Linked DNA regions of Yarrowia lipolytica. The protein of the gene in region 2 interacts with the protein of the main gene of each other region in a pairwise test. Links are inferred from orthologs where the notes say so. Each region holds a gene or a part of one and is shown on either strand. Other genes may lie near its edges.

Region 1 (7,919 bases), on a different chromosome or scaffold from region 2:
CGAACAGTAGCTTCAGCCATGTACAACATGTGTGTTCAGGCTGGAAATGTCATGGCAACCAACATCTACCGAAACGACGACAAGCCTCTCTACAAGCGAGGAAACACTCAGTTGTTTGCCATCAATATTGCATGCATCGTTCTGCTCATCCTGGTCAAGATATACTATGTGTCGGTTAACAACTACCGAGACAAGAAATGGGCTGCCATGACCAAGGAAGAACAGGTGGCCTATCTGCGTACCACCAAGGATCGAGGAAACCGACGTCTGGATTTCAGATTCGCGCACTAAAAAAAAAAAATACACCTGTATAGATATTTATTGTGAAATTTTAACCGGTCTCGTATATAAAATGATTGAGTACATTTTCCTAGCTAAGCATATTACAATCTCGCTACACTTAGTACAATGTAGGTGTTATACTCGTAGTATCATACAGTACAAGTACTCGTTGTTATATGGTCATTGCTGTTGCTCCCCTGTCTCTAGTTGTCGTGCTTACCAACAAGTAGCTCTCCACTCAGCCGTGTCGGCCTAACTTCGGCGATAAGTGAGTCAGTAGAAGTAATATCCAAAACAGTTTTAACAGCACTTGACGTAAATAGCATCAGAAACACACTGGAACACACACGATCGCAGAAATTTCCTCGCATCGCTATCAGCGACTTTTATCTATATCATGTGTGTTCATGTATCAGCAACTCTTCCAATCTACAAATAGCACTTTGAGCCCGGGAGGACCGGACCCGACATGCATATAAAGACATACAGACATGGATACAGGTAATTGCACTTGGCTAGAGGTGATATGTCAATAGTTAACAGTCTTTATTGTGTTAAAAGTAGCCAGAGTGCCTTCTAGGCTATATATTCTCATGGTATCTACAGTGTACTACCCTCGGCAAAAAATAGTCCACTGGAAAAGTACATTTTTACCGCCCAAGAACTCAATCATGCAGATAGCACGTCCCCGCAATAAGCAGCTCTTCGTAGTGCTTTAAGAAAATACATCGCCAGAAGCTGCTGCAATACACAGTCACACATAACACACCATGCTCAGATCTTCTCGAATAACAGCCGGTACTTGTGTATCACGCGGGTGGCACTCATACACGACCAAGACACCCACGAAAACTGCGATCCCTCCAGCCGCCAAGTCGTCTAATGAGGCCAAAGATCTCATTCTCTCCGTGCTTCAGTCGGCAGCAACCAAGCGAGAGGCCAAGACGTATATTTCACGATACGCACCATTGACGGGTGTGGAGCTGCAGAAGAAGAAAGAGGGACTGGTCCAGAGACTACTGGGAGTTGGCAAGGAACAGGACAACAAGGAGATTGAGAATCTGACAGGCCATGCCCCAGAGGGTTTGTTGGGCGACTCGGAAGGCACTCTGCGAGTAGCCATTATCAAGATCAGAGACATCAAGTCAATCGAGGATGATCTCATTGCTCAGATGGGAGAAACCATTGCTCGACTGTCGCGTCTGGGTGTGTCGCCTATTGTCGTAGTTGACGCAGGCAAGGCCCGAAACGACTTCCTCAAGCTCGACAACAAGCCCTTCAGACATTACCAAAAGCTCATTCTGCAAAAGGTGTTCAAGATCTCGGATGCCATCGATGCGGCTAGTCCAGACGTTGGAGCACGGCCTATTGAGGGACTCTTCTCCATGAACAAGAAGGGTCTTCGGCTGGCCATGCCCCAGATGCTCATGCATCCTTTGTCGCATGGAAAAGTGCCTGTTCTGGCTCCCCTAGCTTACGACGACGTTACCTCCGAGGAAAAGCTCGTTATGGCGGACGACGTGGTGCATTTCCTCACTCAGAAGCTGGCCGAAGTACCAGCAAACATTCTGTCGGTGGAAAAGATTATTTTCGTGGACCCCTTGGGTGGCATTCCCTCCGTTGAGAGATCAGGAGCCCATGTTTTTGTCAACCTCAAACAGGAACTATCGGACATTGCTGCCGAGCTGCACATGGGTTTCATTCCTCCTGCTCAGCGTGAAGTACATCTGGCCAACCTCAAGGCCATGCACAAAGCCCTCAAATTTCTGCCTCCTACAGCTTCCGGTCTCATTACTACTCCTGCTGTGGCGGCCATTCCCTCAGTAGGACGAAACCCCATCATTTATAACGTTCTCACAGACCGACCTGTGATTTCGCCTTCTCTACCTGTGGAGCTCAAGAAGACTCCCACTCTAGAAACCACTCTTCTGCGTGAGGGTATGCCTGTCATTACACTCAAGTCTGACAAAGGCCTGAACCTCATCACTGAGCACGAGAAAGGCAACATTGATCTGGACCGTCTGTGGCATCTGATTGAAGACTCCTTTGGACGACGAATCGACAAACAGCATTATCTCAACCGAGTCAACGGCAAAATCGCAGGTATCATCATTGCTGGAGACTACGAGGGAGCAGCTATCATCACATGGGAAGACATTGACCCAGTCAAGGCCCAGGAGGATCGAGATGCTGCCGATCGAGCAGCTGCCGAGGCAGCTGCGGCCTATGCAGCAGGTATCCCCCTTCCTTCGCCGCCTCTGTATCAGAAACTGGGAGATGCCGTGCCTCTTAACCCCAACCAAGTGGCGTATCTTGATAAGTTTGCCGTTCTGAAACGGTCCCAGGGCTCTTCGTCGGTAGCAGATGTGGTTTTCAAGGGTATGGTCATGTCTCAGTTCCCCAACGAGCTGCTGTGGCGATCTCGAAAGAACAACCCCGTGAACAAGTGGTACTTTGACCGGTCGAAGGGCAGTTTCAAGATCCCCGGTAGCGAGTGGTGCATGTTCTGGACGGGTCGAAAGACTCGAGAACAGTACCTTGAACGATTCGTCGACATTTGTACCAGAATCGAGCCTTCTTTGAGGGAGGAGTTATAGCCTGGCAAGGAATAGACATGTCTATAGAACATAAAGTAATGCAGCATTAATAATGAATTGAGTCTCCACGTACTACAAGTAGTAGATTACAAGTCGCACTAACACAATCTGGTCATATCATCTCATTAACTATCTACTTAATATATGCGTGACAAACGTTAGTTATTCGCTGCTCCGATGCTAATTACCCTCCTGGCCAAAATCGTTGGTGAAGTCTTCATGACGAGTAATGTCGTCGTTGTTGACGGTTGGTCGAGTGGACTTTACAGCCTTGATGAAGTCCTTGAGAGTCAGCTCGGGCTCCAGAACTGTTCCGTCCTCCAGTTCCATCCAGTTGAGCTCGGTTGCCTGGGGGTCTCCAGGAGAACAGGGGGTATACTTAGTCACGCCGTCGATCTCCACAGGTTTGAAATGCGTTGCTTCCTGGATTTTTCGGATTGGTTGCATCAGGGCGTCTCGGACAGACACTGCCACATCATGACCCGAGTATCCGTCGGTCATCTCAGCCAGAGTTCGGAAATCCTTCTGAGTCAGTGCACAAGGGGTGTTCCCGACGTTTATCTCAAACATACGGGCTCTGGCCTCGGCATCGGGTAGGGCAATATAGATTCGTCGCTCAAAACGTCGTCGAATAGCGGCATCCAGCTGCCAGGGAATGTTGGTGGCACCCAGAACGAGAACGCCACTAGCGTCGTTACCCACTCCATTCATCTGGACCAGCAGCTCTGTTTTGATTCGTCGTGACGCCTCACTCTCTCCCTCTCCTCGAGGTCCACACAGAGCGTCGACCTCATCGATGAAAATGATACTGGGCTTGTTCTCTCGGGCCATGGCAAACAATTGCTTCACCAGTCGTTCAGATTCACCCATCCACTTGGACACAAGGTCGGAGGATGAAACGGAAAAGAAGGTGGAGTTGGCTTCGGTCGCCACTGCCTTGGCCAGGTACGACTTTCCGGTACCGGGGGGTCCATACAGCAGAATACCAGACAAGGGCTTTCGCTTGCCAGTGAAGAGATAAGGGAATTTGACGGGCAAGATGACTGCCTCCTTTAGAGCTTGCTTGGCTGCCTCCAGACCAGCAATATCTTCCCATTTAACGTTGGGCTTTTCATTAAGGATGGCTCCAGCCAAAGCTCCTCGCAGCTTCTTGGTATCATTGTCGTCGTCTCCAGATCCGGCCCCGCCGTTGGCTCCTCCTCCCTGTTTTGCCGCTTGGGCTGCAGGCTTGCTTTTTTGCTTGTCGAGATGTTCCTTCAGCTGCTCTGCCCGAGAAAAATACTCTGTGATTCGCTGTCGCAGCAGCTCCTTGGACTTGGGGTTCTTCTCGTACTTGATTGCCTTGATGAAGTAGTCCAGTCCGTTGACATACAATTCGTGTGCCTCCTCGTACTTGCTTGCGTTGTCGGCCTCGATCGCCTTGCGCACAATTTCTAGCGCCTTGGATAAAAAGTCCACGGTAGCCATTTGTGTGGGTGGTTGTTGGGTTAATACCTCTCGATAAGTGCTGTAGGTGGTGGATGGACCTCAAGTTTGAGTTTGAAAATCTAGGTGGGAAGGCTGAGGTGTGGCGATAAGGTACGTCGTAAAGGGAGTAAACGTAACTAACCGGGTTGTTATGTATAAAATCCAATAGCTGGAAATCATATAAACACATTAGGACGTGTTAAACGCTTTCGGCGGCAATTTTTTTCATTCTTTGGATAGCAGTTATCACGGATTCCAAATTAATAAAAGTCCGCCATCATAGTATAGTGGTTAGTACACCACGTTGTGGCCGTGGAAACCTCAGTTCGATTCTGGGTGATGGCAATGCCAATATTTTTTGCGTAGTCGGCGTGCTGAATAAGCCACAAGTTGCTAGCAAGCTTTAACCGGTGCAGTTTATGCTCGTAGCTTGTTCAAACAAGCACGTTGCCTCGCCTCGGGAACCAAAACATCTCACAAGTTGCCTACCGTACGCACAACCAAGATAATATCTCACGTTTCGACAGGATTTAGGCCATTACAGTAGAGTCAATTGGGATGCGGAGCAAATACTGTACTTCTTCATACTGTATACAAAAGAAAGGATTTCATTAAACGCGACCCCGACTCTTACGGTCACTTGTCCGTGTAAATATATTGGTACATACTGTATTCAACTGTTCAATAAGTACCAGTACGTACCACTCCAGTAGTCATTTCGCCTTGCATTGCGATGCTATATTTGGAGTGTGGTGTTATTATGCGACAAACAATAAGAGATCTTGCATAACCCCTAAAATTATTGGGAGCGCCGTTGCCTGGCCAACCGTGCTTGCCAAAACAAGGTTGCGTATAAACAAACAGTCACCTCGCACTATACAGTACACCAGCACCATGTAGACCCAGCACCACCGACATGTTGGTACATAAGAGAAATATCGCCTCTTTGTACAGAGCGCACTAGCTACCGGTAACAACCAATTCGACTCTCAAATGTCGAACAAGCCTCGAGACCTGCCCGAGCCACCGTCGCCGGCGTTTGTCAGCCAGCGTCAGTCGCTCCACATTGATGCCAACCCCTTCTCCAACCCTGGCTCCCCTACTCGATCTCCTGAACGACAAGGCGCCTATGGATCTCCCTATGGCACTCCTCGAGCCGAATCTCCGACCCGTTTCGGCTCCCCTACTCGGTATGGAAGTGCTCATGGAGCCCGAGGAACCCCTCGAGCAGAGTGGACTCGTCGAGAGACACCTGTGAGTGAATTTGATCCCATTGTCATTGACGACGATGATGATGATGCGGTTCTGGCTCCTCCTCCTGTGTTCCCCACAGTCGATTCTCTACGACAGTCGCAGATGAGTGTTACCAGTGACTTGAGACAGTCTGTCATGTCCACCTCTTCTGGCGGCCATTCTAGCCACGGATACGGTCACCAGTATGCATTGGCCCGAAGCATCACTTCACAATCCACCTCCTCTTCTATCACCGCCACCTCTTCCCGAGATTCTATGATCGACCACGACGAAGATGACGACGACGAAATGGAGTTTAGAAAGGGAGACGAAAAGAACGGCTACCGAATGAAGTACCTCGATGACAGAGTTCACGATGAAGAGGAATACGACGAGGAGGATGACTCTGATGCTCACTCTGTAGCCACTGTCGCCTCCCACCTCTATGAGGCCCCCCTCCAAGCCCAGCCTCGACGTCACAAGTCCATGGCCCGAAAGAAGGTCAAGTTGGTTCGAGGTAACCTGGTCTTAGATTGTCCCGTCCCCACCAAGCTTTACTCGTTCCTGCCACGACGAGACAATGATGAGTTTGTCTACATGCGATACACAGCCTGTACCGCTACCCCCGATGAGTTCAATGACGAGGGCTTCACCCTACGACCTGCTGTCTACGAGCGAGAAACACAGCTGTGCATCTGTATTACCATGTACAACGAAGACGAAGTGGCTTTTACCCGAACCATGCATGCTGTTATGAAGAACATTGCCCACTTGTGTTCTCGAAACAAGTCGCGAGTGTGGGGTAAGGAGGGCTGGAAGAAGGTCGTGGTCACTATCGTCTCCGATGGTCGAACCAAAATTCACCCTCGAGTCCTCGACTGTCTGGCTGCAATGGGTGTCTACCAAGATGGTATTGCCAAGCAGACCGTCAACGGAAAAGAGGTGCAGGCACATCTCTACGAGTACACCACTCAGGTGTCTCTGGATTCGGACCTCAAGTTCCAGGGAGCTGAGCGAGGTATCATGCCTGTCCAGCTGCTGTTCTGTCTCAAGGAGAAGAACGCCAAGAAAATCAACTCGCATAGATGGCTCTTCAACGCATTCTGCCCCCAGCTGCAGCCTAACGTGTGCATTCTGCTGGATGTTGGAACCAAGCCAGGAAAGGACTCACTCTACCATCTGTGGAAAGCATTTGACGCTGACTCGAACATTGGAGGAGCTTGTGGAGAGATCACCGCCATGAAGGGTAAGCAGTGGCGGGCTCTATTGAACCCCCTGGTGGCTTCTCAAAACTTTGAGTACAAAATGTCGAACATCCTCGACAAACCCCTCGAGTCTGTGTTTGGTTATATTTCTGTGCTTCCTGGAGCTCTGTCGGCCTACCGATACCGAGCTCTCTGCAACAATCCGGATGGAACCGGTCCTCTCAACTCGTACTTCAAGGGAGAGTCTCTGCATGGTCGAGATGCTGATGTGTTTACCTCCAACATGTACCTCGCTGAAGATCGAATCCTTTGTTGGGAGCTTGTGGCTAAGCTCAATGAGAAGTGGATGCTCAAGTATGTGCCTTCTGCTACTGGAGAGACTGATGTGCCCGACAGCGTACCTGAGTTTGTGTCGCAGCGACGACGATGGCTCAACGGTGCTCTTTTTGCAGCCATTTACTCTCTGACCCACTTCACCCAGATCTGGAAGACTGACCATTCTGTCTGGAGAAAGTGCCTGTTGCATGTGGAGTTTGCATACCAGTTCCTGCAGCTTCTGTTTACATTTTTCTCTCTCGGAAACTTCTTCCTGGCTTTCTACTACGTCGCAGGCTCCATTTCTGGCCCTGACTCGGCCGTCATTTCCAACAATGGAGGTCTCGTTCTGTTCGTCATTTTCAAGTATCTTTGCATTACCACCATCGTTGCTCAGTTTGTGATTTCTTTGGGTAACCGACCTCAGGGCTCTCACTATCTGTTCCTGGGCAGTATGGTTATCTTCGCATTGATCACGGCTTACTCAACTGGAGTGGGTCTGTACTTTGTCATCAAGACCTTGACTCTGGAAGACACTGTGTCTCTTGGAAACAACGTGTTCACCAACATTTTCGTCTCCCTGGCCTCCACCTACGGTCTTTATGCTGTGATGTCCTTCCTGTACCTGGACCCCTGGCATATTCTAACTTGTTCAGTCCAGTACATTCTGCTTCTGCCCTCGTCCATCTGCACCCTCCAGGTCTACTCCTTCTGTAACACCCATGATGTTACTTGGGGTACTAAGGGAGACAACGAGCTTACTCCTGATCTTGGATCTGCCGTTGCCCAGAAGGACTTTGGTCAGGACGTGGTTGAAATT
Region 2 (6,550 bases):
GTGGTCATTGTGAACGACAAGGACCGAGTCGTGGCGATCGGATCTGTGGTCATTGAGCGAAAGCTGATCCACCACTGCGCCTCGGCAGGTCACATCGAAGACATTGCTGTGGCCTCATCGGAACAGGGCAAGAAGCTCGGTCTCCATCTCATCAACACCCTCACAGCCATCGCTGAGCAGGTCGGGGCATACAAGGTCATTCTCGACTGCTCCGACAAGAACGTGCCTTTCTACGAAAAGTGCGGCTACACACACAGCGGAAACGAAATGGTTCTCAAGTTCAAGAAGCCTGGCACTTTGTAAGAAGCATCTCTCGAAAATCCATCTAACTCGCTTTATATATAACAATGCATTTATCATCTACATTCGTAAAACTACTGTGATTGAAACTGCATTAGTCAGAAGTACAGTATGTACATACATACTTCTGTACAGACGTACATACTTGTAATAATGCTGAGTTAAGTAAATGTCAAAATGCCAGACTCGTATAGCCATAATTACCCAAACCGAATACCATCCTCGGGGCTCCACATGCTCAAGTTGCTGGCTCTCTGAGCTCTGGGAGCTGCTAGGGGAGTGGAGGATGTATCGCTGTGGCCTCCGCTATGTTCATGCTCAGACAAGTGCATAGACGACAACTCGTGCTCGAGAGAAGCTCCCTCCATCTTTCGCTCGTACACAAACTGCTTACAGTTCTTGTGGAAGATGGAAATCTCACCCAGAAGCTGGTTGTAAAAGTTTCGCCCAGCATCGAGGTGGTCTTTTTGTTCCTGGTAGCTAAAGTAAGCAACCTCCAGAGATTGGATGGCGTTCTCTCTATGGATGGCAGCATCGTTCATGTCCAGCGAGGATCGGAAATCCTTGTTGGCAACGTCAAGCTTCTCTAGCACCTCCTCCTGAAGCTCCTTTTGTTCGGAGGCCCAGTCCTGGTCAACAGTGTATTTCTCCAGCTCCTTGGATGTGATGGGCTCGAAGTCAGCCAGGGTCAGACGCAGGTTGGCGTGCTTCTCTCGAATGAGCTTATTCATGTGATACTCCAAAACAGGTTCAATGTCGTCATTCTGCTGCTTTAGAGACAGTCGATCCATGTACTGAGCTCGTTTGATTTCCAATGACTCCAGATTGTTCAGCAGATCTCGCAAGTGGGGCACCTGCCGCTTGACCTCGGGAGACCGAACTCCAGAAACAGACGATGGTAAGTAGTTCTCTAGAGCACTTCGCCCTGAGTTGAGAATCGACAGGAGGTAGTCGATTTCATCCAATTTACCTCGAACAAGCTTATCAGACGCCCCTGCATCAGCTAGATACTGCTCCAGCTCTGCCAAACGGGTGTAAAGGTGGGCTCCAGCCTCCTTGGAGTCGAATCTGGTCCATCCAGAGTTGTTTTTACGTCTCAGCATCTCGTCCTCGCTTCTTTCGTCGTCAAGAACAGCCTTAGCGGCCTCTAGCTCCTGTCGCGCGGTAGCTGCCAGTCTCTGGACGTCCTTAACGGCCTCTCTGGTGGTCTCAAGACCTCGCTCACTCTTGATCTGATCGGAATGAGCAATGATATCGGCAGGAATACCCTTGGGCTTCTCGACCGAGTCCAATGATCCCGGTAGCGCCATCTCCACGAGAGCCTGGTTTTTGCTGTTGGTGCAGTTCTTCAGCTGACTCTCAATAGATGAAACAATCTTATCACATTCCTGAGAGTAAAGAACGAGGGCTTGGTGAAAGGCAAAGGGCGTGAGCTTGACAAACAGCGGAAGACCCAGCTTGTCCTTTGTGAGAAACTCTATGGGCTTAGCCAGCTCAACGGGAGGAGTACATTTGACCATCAGTGCAGGTGTAATAGGAGCGAGAGCGGTTGTCTGAGGAACAGACTGGAGATAGATAAGATTGTTATCCTTCTCGGCCCGTTTGAGATCTTCGGTTACTACGTCGATGATTCCGTTCAAATCATCGGCCACGCTCTCCACCAGGTACCTTCTGAGCATACCCTTTCCTGTCCCCTCCTTGATGGCATTAAGAGCAGCCTTGAGACGTGCAATCTCCTCGCCATATCTGCATCCATCCAGTGCGTCACGTGCCATTCGGTAATGTGCGACCGCTAGAAAGTGCTGTCGTTTGCACGTCATGTGATGCACCCATTCGCTTCGGACCTGCGGGCTCTTTTGGGCCCAGGCGAGCGCCGAGTCGTAAAGAAGAGATACCTGCTGCGCGAGCTTTGCCACCAGAGAGTTTCGTGAGCCACTCAGCAGCGATCTCTGCCAGAAACATTCCTGTGCTTGGGCCAACATGAGATCTCTAACACAGCAAATGGTGTCATATTCGAGTCCTCGCATGTTGAGACTTTCCAAGTCTGGCAAGCCGTTCTCAATGAGAATCTGGAAGCATCCTGCTGCCATTTGAAAGTAATTGAATGACATCTTTAGACCGTCTGCGTCCTGCCTTCCCTCATTGACGCCCATCTGACTGTACAGCGAGCCCAGGTTGTAGAGAAGATTGCATCGCTCGAAATGAAGGCTTTGACTGATGACGGGGGCGGCATTGGCGGTGTAGGCCAGAGTTCCGTACCACATGAACTCCAGGCTATCGCATCCGGCTGGAAACTTGGTAGTCCAGTATGTCAATTGGGCGTAGTACTTGGTGAGGTGGTCGAGATAGCTGGCGTTTGGTTGCGGGTTGAGAATGTTGTTACGCAGGTCGTTGGCTGTTTTCAGGTCGGCTGTAAACTTGTCTCGAGGTTGGTTCAGCTGCTTCTCGATGGTGTCGCCCAGTCCTGTGATTAGATCGACAGCTTGTGTCTCCCGAAACGGGATCCAGATGATGTTTGGCATGGTCGCAAGACGCTCTTGGTGTTTTGGGGTCGTTTCCGCACTTGCAAGCAGTAGCTGGCAGTGTGTTCAGCAGTAGGCACGAATCGATGTTTACAAGTTGCTGATTGAGTTGTTGTATGCGAGAGCTTATTGTTGATGTGATAAGAACATAGTAGACAGAGTGTAATTGGACTCTTAGTTGGGAAATTAAAAATCAAACTAAGAAGCCAAGTAATTTGCAACATGATACTTGACCGCTCATTGACTACAGGATGTACTTTACTTGTTCATACTCTCAACCACAGGTAGTACTCGTTACTCGTCACACACACACCCTACATTAATCAATTATCGAGTATCGCTCGAAGAACGTCTTTCAATGTTCTCAGTGACCCCTTTCTCTTCGTCCTCCATCTCTTCGAGCTTCCTCTCGTAGGCATTATCCTGCTCAGAGCCTCCAGAGATCATCTCTGCCTGTCTGTTTTCTGGACCCAGAAACGTGACACAAAGCACAAAAAAGAAGACACAACCCATCAAAATGGCCATCACCAGACTGTAATTGTACACTCCTGGTTTTTCGTTTCCGAATTTGTCATAAAGGGGAAATGTTTCTCCAATAGTGGCTTCAATGGTTGAAGAAGCAGAAGAAGCCAGGTTACCCAGCTGGTAAGCCACCCCTACCATTGACGATCGAAGGACCGGAGGGGCAAGCTCTGTAAGATGAATAGGGATGACTCCCCAGGCTCCCTGGACAAAAAACTGCAGAAAGAAGACTCCAGCATTGATTCCACTGTTGGTGACAAAGGCCCAAGGGTAGATCAGCGCTCCCCCTATCACACAAGAGATCATGATACACAGTCGTCTTCCAAAGAAAGAAGAAGCGTGACCCACAACAAGGCCACCGGCAATAGCTCCAAAGTTGGCCACACAGTTGGTAACAGTAGATCGGTCTTCGCTGAATCCAAGCTGTTTCTTGAGCATGGTCGGATACAAGTCCTGTGAGCCATGAGACATGAAGTTGAAGCCCCCCATGAGAACAACCAGGTAGGCAAACATGAGCCAGTACGTCTTGAAGGTCATCTTGATGCCTCGCCAGAAGTTCTTTTCAATACCTTCGGCCTCTGCTGCGTTCTTTTTAGAAAGAAGATAGGTGTCGGTTTCAGGAAGACATAGTCGGAAGATGATGATGAGAACAGGAGGACCCGAACCGAACCAGAAAAGAGCGCGCCACCCAAAAGGAGAAGTATCGGCAATGGCTCGGGTGAACACGACACACAACAAGTATCCGAATGCATAGCCTTCCTGTAGCAGTCCCGAAATGACTCCTCTGGCCTGTACTGGGCAGTCTTCGAGGGCTGTAGCTGCTGCCATGCCGTAGATACCCCCCATTGCGATTCCAAACAGAGCTCTGACGGCAAGGAACTGCTTATATGTCTGTACAAACCCGGTGCCCAATTCCAGGACAATAAACAAGACACAGTTGGTGATGAAGGGCCATTTTCGTCCAAAACGATCCGACAGCATTCCGAAGATGACAGCTCCAACAGATCGCAACATGAGCACAAGAGTGATACCCCAGGTGATACTTGTGACAGACACATGGAGACTCTCGGCAATTTCAGATGCAACCAGCGACACAGAAAAGAAATCAAACGAGTCCCAAGCCCAGCCACAGAATCCCACAGCTACAAACAACCACTGCTTCCTGTTCAGAAGTCGAAGGGCAGGAATCGGGTTGATGTGCTTTTTTTCCTCAACCGTGAGCTTTGGAGGCTTCAAAGAAGTGACTCGAGTGACTAGGTACCTCTTGATGTTCTTTGGAGACAGATCTGGTGCTGGGAAGTTGTCAAAATCCATGCTGACATGTATACAGACAGATTGAGCGAGTAGACAGGTCTATATATACGCCTGGATATCAAAAGTCGTGTTTAATCATTAAATGGCGAGATCATGACCCCTCAGGCGTGAACTGCTTTTCCGCCCTTTAGTCTAGCGGTCCAACCACAGTCTTATTGGTGAAACATTGTGGCCATGTGTAGTCCCGGAATGGATAGAGACAGTATTGGTCTGTTATTGTCCCATACGAGAGCCAAGAAGATACTGTGGAGTCTTATATAATGACATGCTCTCAAGTATCTGCAGCCTTGCGCAACGTCTCACTCCTCAACGACAGCTTCTCCAACTTCGTCAGTCCAAATTAGTACGTTGAGTCCCCGCCTCCGGTCCGCTTCTACACGAGTATATACGTAGTTATATACATACTCGTAGCTCTTGTATTATAAATCGACTGTCGGAAAATCTTTTTAGACCAGAGATAGGATTAGAAATGTAGACGTCAAGTATGTACTAGCGATGATAGTCGTCGAGCCCAACCTCTGGCGCACTTTGACTGGGGGCCAAATGAACAGTAGCCTGATAGCACACACGTAGGGGGAGGATTGACGTCTTAATAGATCACAAGTGCATCATCTGCTGCCGCAATCGTTCCTCATTCCACCATTCATATAGTCAATAAGTATACAAACGTATTCGCTTAGAACTTCTCCACTTCCCCACTAAAAAGTACTAAACGACCCGGATCGCCACTTCCGGAAGGATCCACCTACTTGTGCTGTATCTACCCGAGCGCAGGAGCACCCCGGAGCAGAGGCCTTCACCAGCCCTGTTGCTCCATCAGCTGTTCAAAATGCACAATAAATAATTACTTAACTAATCGACTCCTAATGGCCACCCTTGGCGGCCTGCTCCTTAACCTTCAACTCACGGTATTTATCCTGCGCGGCACGTTCCTTCTTGACGAGCCAGTCAACCTCCTCCTGCAGAGCCGCGCTTCGCTGCTCAATGGCAATCTCCTCCATGCGGGCTAACTCGGAAAACACGGCAATCTCGACCTCAACAGACTCAAGTTGAGACCACCGAGAAGTCAGCTTTTTAGATAAAGTAGCCTGGCGCTTGGCATACGCCTTAAACTTGTCCACCAGAGCAGTCTCTTCGGTCTGGCAAGTTTCCGCAAGAGAAGTTAGCGTTTCAACAAGCTGGTCGGATATGATTTCCACACGGGTCTTGAACTCCTCCTCGGACTCGTCGGAACGAGCAACTGTTCCAGGAAGAGCAGCCGTCTTAATATCCTCCTCCTGCACTTCTTGCTCATCGCCCTCCATCAGTTCCATCTCAATCAAAGTTTCGGCATCCACTAAGTCGTCGAGAGAGAACTCAGACTGCATTAGAGCCACAGAATCGCCTTTATTGGGAAACCTAAGCTCCTCCTCTCTGAGAAGAGCAACTACTTCTTGACCGATAGCATCATTGTAAGTAACTTCAGGAACAGTAGCCCGGGGAAGACCTCTCTGAAGAGTCTGAGAACGAGTCTTGAGAGCTTCTTGTCGCTCCTGCTCCTCGGCAATTCTTTTCAATCGAGCTTGTTCGCCCTTATCAACTGGCAAGTTATCTGTAGGCTTCTTTTCCTTATCAGCTTCCTCATCTTCCTCTTCGTCCTCCGCAGTGATTTCGAAATCGTTCTTGGGCTTAGGAAGAGAGGCCAGTTTCTGGCGCAGAATAGAAACAGGAGTAGCTTCGACAGATCCAACCAAACCCAGAGCGTCCCGCTTGATAGGAGTCATCCCAGCAGGAGTAGCTCCTCCTATATCGGATCCAGCAGAAACACTAGTGACAGCCTTGTTAGAAGGCAGCTTGGGGATTGCAAATCCATCTTTATCAGCTTCAGCTTCGTCGTCGACCTCTTCCTCGGT

What was found.
Region 1: the proteins of YALI1_D25419g (region 2) and YALI1_B21323g interact in a two-hybrid assay, tested with the Saccharomyces cerevisiae proteins (2 studies listed by BioGRID). The link is inferred for Yarrowia lipolytica from reciprocal best matches to the Saccharomyces cerevisiae genes RIM20 and VPS4.

Annotation. Positions count from the first base shown.
Region 1 is NC_090771.1:2,128,742-2,136,660, reverse strand, and holds YALI1_B21323g (uncharacterized protein), read right to left. Parts: upstream 4,347-7,919; coding exon 3,060-4,346; downstream 1-3,059. Other genes in the region: YALI1_B21381g (uncharacterized protein), read left to right, coding at 1-291; YALI1_B21356g (uncharacterized protein), read left to right, coding at 1,053-2,879; YALI1_B21313g (uncharacterized protein), read left to right, coding at 5,340-7,919. UniProt on the Saccharomyces cerevisiae protein: Involved in the transport of biosynthetic membrane proteins from the prevacuolar/endosomal compartment to the vacuole. Required for multivesicular body (MVB) protein sorting.
Region 2 is NC_090773.1:2,538,153-2,544,702, reverse strand, and holds YALI1_D25419g (uncharacterized protein), read right to left. Parts: upstream 2,823-6,550; coding exon 501-2,822; downstream 1-500. Other genes in the region: YALI1_D25450g (uncharacterized protein), read left to right, coding at 1-303; YALI1_D25400g (uncharacterized protein), read right to left, coding at 3,150-4,658; YALI1_D25370g (uncharacterized protein), read right to left, coding at 5,522-6,550. UniProt on the Saccharomyces cerevisiae protein: Required for the proteolytic cleavage of the transcriptional repressor RIM101 in response to alkaline ambient pH, which is necessary for sporulation and invasive growth.